Linked DNA regions of Cricetulus griseus. The protein of the gene in region 2 interacts with the protein of the main gene of each other region in a biochemical or structural test. Links are inferred from orthologs where the notes say so. Each region holds a gene or a part of one and is shown on either strand. Other genes may lie near its edges.

Region 1 (3,500 bases), about 120 Mb from region 2:
CCTTGCGGATGAAAGAGGCAAACACCATGTCTACACCCTGCTCCACTCCAAACTTCAGGTCCTGAATGTCCTTTTCTGACACAGCAGGGAGATCCACAGCAGCTCCGGGGAGGTTCACCCCCTTCTTGCTGCCCAAGGAGCCACCGTTCTCCACCTCTGTCACCAGGTAGTCAGCACCTGTGTAAGTGAAGGATCAGTGATGAGGACCTGCCTCTTCTTGCAGGAGGTCACATCACTGAGGCAACTAGAGCCACGTGAAAGCCAGATTACAAGACCTCAGGCTGAGTCAATTTGACACTGTCAGTTTCCGCAACTATAAACAATACCCATGTACAAGTTGCGAAGATGTTTTGAATTTTGGGTGTGGTAGCACAGGTTAATTACCCCAACACTCAAGATGCAGATGCAGAAAAATCTGTGTTCAAGACTAAGGTGATCTACACAGTGATGTCAGCCAGCGCTACAAAGTGAGACCTTGTCTCAAAATAAATAGCTAAGCTAGTGAATCAGCCTCATTCGGCCTCAGTTACATAGTAAAGCCCAGCACAGGCAACAAAAAAACCCTCTCGTAAAACCAAAATGAAACGAACACATAAACCATTTAAACAGGTAAGATTTAACTGGCATTCAAAGGCACACAGGAGGGACTGGAGAGATTGCTCAGAGGTTAAGAGAACTGACTGGTTGCTATTACAGAGATCCTGAGTTCAATTGCCATCAACCACATGGTGGCTCACAACCATCTGTAATGAGATTTGGTGCCCTCTTCCATCATGCAGGTGGACATTCAGGCAGAACACTGTGCACATAACAAAAACTTCAAAGGCACATAGAAATATTCTACATGCCATATTGAGAGACCCACCTGCCATTGACTCCCAAGTGTTAGGACTAAACACTAAAGGCTCGCCCCACCCTCCTGGCCCTTTGGGGAGTTTTTTTTTGTTTTTTTTGTTTTTTTTTTTTTTAAACTTCTGATCCTCTGGAGATTGAACCCAGGCCCTATACATGCAGGCGAGTGCTATACCAAAAGGAGTTAAAATAGATTCAACTTGGGGGCTGGAGAGATGACTCAGAGGTTAAGAGTACTGACTCCTTTCCAAAGGTCCTGAGTTCAATTCCCAGCAACCACATGGTGGCTCACAACCATCTGTTATGAGATCTGGTGCCCTCTTCCGATGTGCAGATAAACATGGAAGCAGAATGTTGTATACGTAATAAATAAATAAAATCTTAAAAAAAAGATTCAACTTGAGAGCGCTGGAGATGGGAATTGGCGATGGACCATGCGCCATGCATACCTTTCTCCTTCACCTGCAGTGAAATGAGCCCGTCATCCACGTAGATCTTGCTGCCCACCTCCACCACCTTACAGATGTTCTTATAGTCCAGCCACAGGATGTTCTCATCACACTTCTCCATGTAGGCGTTGTCCAGGGTGATCTTCAGGGTGGCTCCCTTCTTCAGCTCTACTTCTGCAGTGCCGCTCTGTAGATTCAAGACAGCCCGTGGGTGTGTGAACTGCAGAAGCCACACCCCTAATGGGGATGCTCAAACCCTGGTTCGGAGTACTAAGCAACCTTCTTCCTTTGAAGAAATTCTAAGCTCCGTTCACCATTGAGACTTAAGTAGTTAAAAAAAAATTAAGGACCAACCCCCATGTTTCCTAGCTATGCAGATGAAAAGAGCAATGACAAAAAACATTTTCATGCCGGGACTGGAGATGGTGCAGTGGTTTAGAGCACTTACTGTTCATGCAGAAGATCTAGGTTGATTCCCAGCACCCATATGGTGGGTCTCATAGACATCCATAACTGCAGTGCACAGCATACATGTGGTGCATAGCCACACAAAAAAACCACCCACACCCATATGCATTAATAAAAACACTATCATTGGTAGACTTTAACTCTAAAACTTACCCAGTCAGAAACTAGAGAAAGCTACCAGGGAGGGAGGGTTTGCCTGCCCTCAGAGCACTTCCTAGGATACTCACGCCTTTGATGAGTCCAGTCCTGATCTCAGGTCCCTTTGTGTCCAGAGCCACAGCAACAGGCCGGTAGAGGATGGGGTCAGATGCAAAGCTTTCTGTGGCTGTTCGCACATTCTTGATAGTCTCTGCGTGATACTGGGGAAAGAAGGGAGATTGACTGACAGGTGCCCCACACCTGACTTCAGTTCCCATTCCCTACCTGTGAGCCAAAGTTGACCAATCACTTATGAAAGAAAAGGGTCTGAATTCCATCCTCATCCCCAACCCACTAATCTCATCAGCATCCATTCTCCCCACCACAGAACTAACTCCAATAGCAAATCCCAAGAACATTCTGAAACACTGTCACTAAAGCCCTACTCTTAAAGCAGCTATGTGTCCCTTCAGTTGTCCTAGTATCCCTAGGACTCAAAGATGCCTAACAACTGGGGCAGGTAAAGGACCCAGGATTTGTGTTTGAAGTCTGCCCTGGCAGTCTGTTTCCACTATCGATCCCAAAGTCAATTCAAACCCAAAGTTGTTGACTTAAGGTAACAATGGTCCAAGCTAAACAGCTCATTGCTTGGTCATATGCAGACACCTCCTTTCACAATCACTTTCTTAGGTCTGATTAGAAAAGGAGAGGAACCGGTGATTAGTGGCCTATCTCTGATAGAACTACCGTTCACTATACTTCACTTGCAATAGTACCCCCAAAGGCCTTTTCCTTTTTCTACCTGGGAGTCAGAGCCAAGACAGCTATAGAATCTGTGGATAGTGCAGATCTGTGTGACGCCACTGATCACAGGACATATATATAATTCATCATTTTAAGGGCTTTGTCTTTTAACCACTGTGCCCAGTTAAGACACCTGGAAGCCTGAATCTGTCCTTCATCCACAGGCGGCCTGAGAGCTAATCTTTTCTGACAGTAACTACTGACTGCTTGATTCATTTTAGAGAGGTACTCATAATAGTTTTTTTTTTGGAGGTTGCCCTTAATTCCCATAGAAGAATTACAGCTGAATAATTTCTACTTTATAGGAGTTAAAATCCTTCCCTCTGGCCTAATGTATCTTTATAAGTATGTGTGAGGTTTGAACCCAGGGATTTGTTCTTGCTGAGCTACACACCTCAGCCCATTCACAAGTGCTCTAAACAAACACATATTTGGCACCGTGTATATAAAACTGCATTATAATCCCAAAGGTTAGAACACTGGGTGGCCCATTATTAAAATTCTTTGTATGGCCAACCTATGGTACACTTTTGGAAGGTAGATCGTGTCTTCTGTCACAGCTATGGCTTTGCTGGCGCATTACCAAATGGTGAACGAAGACTGGAATCCATGAGTGCCATCCTTGTAGAGGCTCTAAATTTAGGCCATTTAAAAGTCAGTACAGCATTGCCTGTTCAGCAAGAATACTCATCTTGCCCATGTGACCAGCAAGAGGTGTAATTACAAGACTGCCAAGGATGGGAAAGGATCAGATGCAGCTGGTAGATGTTCCTGTCAGAGGGAGGGAAT
Region 2 (3,500 bases):
TTCAAGCTTGAAACTAGCCCAGGAACCTAACACAGGTTAGTACAATTTCCTCTATCCAAAAGAAATAGGGCTGGAGAGATGGCTCAGAGGTAAAGAGCACTGACTGCTCTTCTAGAGGTCCTGGGTTCAATTCCCAGCAACCATGTGTTGGCTCACAACCATCTATAATGAGATCTGGTGCCCTCTTCTGGCCTGCAGGCATACATGCAGGCAGAACATTGTATAGATAATAAATAAAATCAAAATAGAGACAGAGAGGGAGAGGGGGAGGGGGAGAGACAGAGGGAGAGACAGAGGGAGGGAGGGAGGGAGGGAGGAGGGAGGAGAGAGAGAGAGAGAGAGAGAGAGAGAGAAGAGAGAGAGAGAGAGAGAGAGAGAGAGAGAGAGAGAGAGAGAGAGAAATTCTCCAAAGGGGCATAGTTAAAGAAAACATCCTCCTGGGCCTGATGGCATACATGTTTAATCCTGGCACTCAAGAGGTAAAGATCTCTTTGAGTTCTAAGGACAGTCTAGTCTAAACAGTATGTTTCAGGCCAGCTGGGGTTACAACAAAATGAGGTCCTGTCTCAAACAACAAAAAAGGCCTTCAATAGTCCATGAAAAATTTACACAACCCAACACATGGGTTCACTGGAAAATATAATTTAATACGAAGTAAAGCCAACTTATTTAGCATATAGTCCACCAAAACATTCTGAAAACACAAAGGTTTTTTTTTTTTGATCTTTGGTAAAATCAGCAAACTTAAAAGGTAAAAAGAAAATACATCGTCTAAGTATCAAAAACTAACATTAGAAGAAAATAATCTTAGACTGATATATTGACACTGGTCGTTGGTAGTTTTAGAAGAAATAAGGAAGGCTGTATTTTAAAGGCTGACCAAAATAACTTCACCTATTACTGAAAGGATAGAAAAGGGGTTGGAGAAGACAGCTCAGGTGTTTACTGCTCTTTCAGAGGATCCAGGTTCAATACCCAGCACTTACAGAAGGCTCACAACTGCCTATAACTCCAATTCTAGGAGATCCAATACCCTCCTCCTCTGGTCTCCAAGGGCACCGCATGCACATAATACACACAGTTAAACAGGCACATACACATAAATAAAAATAAATAAAATCTTCTGAAAATGTATCTCACACACAGGGATAAAAAGGCATTACCTGGATCTGTGCCCTATTTCCAGCTGTAATATTAGATATTGTCCAACATGCTTCCTTTTTGATAGATTCCTTTGGGCTACTCAGCAAATGCAATAAACTCTGAAGAGCTGAGCAGTTCAAAATTACCTGAAAGAAAAAAAAAAATTTAAGTTTTACTTACGGTATAGTTTCAAATATCATTTGGTTTTGGATTTTTGTTGGTTTTTCTGTTGAGGAAAGGTCTTATACAGCACAGGCTGGACTCAGTGCATCCTGGAAGATGAGCTTGAAATCCTGGATCATCTTCTGTCCACCTCCCAAGAGGTAGTAATAAGTGCATTTTTCACTCAACTTATTTTTGTCTCAAAAACAGAGAAACCCTGTCTCAAAAACAAAACAAACAAAAAAACCTAAAACAAACTTATTTTACTACAAATGTAGAAGAAAAACTCTGGAATTCTAAAAAAAAAAAAAAAATAGCTTTATTCATGGGGAAGATGTATGTGTTTGGACTTGAGCATACCATAGTACACATGAAATCAGAGAAAAATTTGCTGGAGTTGGTTCTCTCCTTCCACCATGTGTCCTAGGAATCAAACTTAGGCTATCAGGCTTGGTGACAAGTGCTTTTACCATTTGGGACAACGTTTCAGTCCTTTAAAAACTATTTAGTACTAGTCTGAAATACATTAAAGACTATGAATCTGGTTTCACTGTGTACATTCACAAGCACTGGGATGTGTGGTGGTACATAATCAAGCACTTGGGAGTCAAACATGAGAAGATCTTGAATATAAGCACAGTTTGATAGATTCAGTCATACTCTGCTCTTGAGAAAACAAACAGAACAAAACCCATAATACACAACTACAATGACATTAGTATTAAAAAATATACTATGGTCTGGAGAGATGGTGGCTCAGTGGTTAAGAGCGCTTGATGCTCTTGCAGAGGACCCAGGTTCAATTCCAGCACCCACATAGTGGTTCACAACCATCCTCAACTCCAGTTCTAGGGGATCTGATGCCTTCCTCTGGTCGTCATAGGCACCCAGCTTACATGTTGTACACATATACACATGCACACAAAAGACTCACACATAAAATAAAATGAATAAATCTTTAAAAGCCAACTACAAATAGGGGCCAAGTATGGTGGCACACGACTTTAATCCCAGCACTTGGAAGGCAGAGGCAGGCGGATCTCTGTGAGTTGGAGGCCAGCTTGGTCTACAGAGTGAGTTCCAGGATAGCCACAGCTGTCACACAGGAAACCTTGTCTCAAAAAAAATGAAACACACACACACACACACACACACACACACACACACACACACACACACACACACACACACACACACACACACACAACCACACACGGGGGGGGGGGGGGGGGGGGCGCGGCCCCCGCACGGGACTGGAAACACAGCTCAGCAGTTAAGAGCACTGGCTCATCTTCCAGAGGACCCCACCAGGCAGCTCACAACTGTTCATTACTCCAATTTTAGGCAGATCTCCAAACCCTCACACAGATATATATGCAGGCAAAACACCAATGCACATGAAATAAAAATAAATTTAAGAAAATACATGAAATATATGTTAAAAAACTAGAATAAGCTGGACGTTGGTGGCGCACGCCTTTAATCCCAGCACTCAGGAGGCAGAAGCAGGCAGATCTCTGTGAGTTCGAGACCACCCTGGTCTATAGGAGCTAGTTCCAGGACAGCCTCCAAAGCCACAGAGAAATCCTGTCTGGAAAAACCAAAAAAAAAAAAAAACCACACACACAAAAAACACTAGAGTAAATGTTTATCTTAATTATGTAAATTAAAAAGAAAAAATTAAAAATTCTTCACAATAAAATAAATGAAAACTAAAACAAAGCCACGTGTTACCTACTAAACTACAAGCTAAAAGTGTTGTTTATTTAAGGAGGAGGACGAGAAGGAGGGGGAGGACGAGGAGGACGAGGAGGAGGCGGCAGAGATTTAGTTCCCCCAGTTCTGGAGGCTGGAAAATCCAGTTACAGCACCAATACCTGGTGTAAGAGACCTTCTTACTGCATCTCCAATGTGGCAAAAGGCTGAAGAGCCAGTGGGGACAAATATTCTGCCCTTATATGACAGAAAATCAAAAAAGTAAATAGAACTTTCTAAAAACAATTTTGTCACAAATGTTAAGAGTTTATTTTATAAACTTTCATTATTAAAAAAAATTGCAAATAATATAAACATCATACACCAAAAGCAACCAGATTTGAAGTCTATACATCTTAGTGAACCTCTATACAGTTAGGGCAGCCATTCTGAAGCTGTGGAGCTTCATGGCGGATTTTATACTTTCACTACTGAATAAA

Evidence for each region. The genes of interacting proteins can lie anywhere in the genome.
Region 1: the proteins of importin subunit alpha-5 (region 2) and Pkm form a complex in vitro, tested with the Homo sapiens proteins (2 studies listed by BioGRID). The link is inferred for Cricetulus griseus from reciprocal best matches to the Homo sapiens genes KPNA1 and PKM.

The regions. Positions count from the first base shown.
Region 1 is NC_048597.1:171,214,744-171,218,243, reverse strand, and holds part of Pkm (pyruvate kinase PKM), read right to left. Parts: intron 2,129-3,500; coding exon 1,997-2,128; intron 1,489-1,996; coding exon 1,302-1,488; intron 178-1,301; coding exon 1-177. UniProt on the Homo sapiens protein: Catalyzes the final rate-limiting step of glycolysis by mediating the transfer of a phosphoryl group from phosphoenolpyruvate (PEP) to ADP, generating ATP.
Region 2 is NC_048597.1:53,645,393-53,648,892, forward strand, and holds part of importin subunit alpha-5, read right to left. Parts: intron 1,290-3,500; coding exon 1,164-1,289; intron 1-1,163. UniProt on the Homo sapiens protein: Functions in nuclear protein import as an adapter protein for nuclear receptor KPNB1. Binds specifically and directly to substrates containing either a simple or bipartite NLS motif.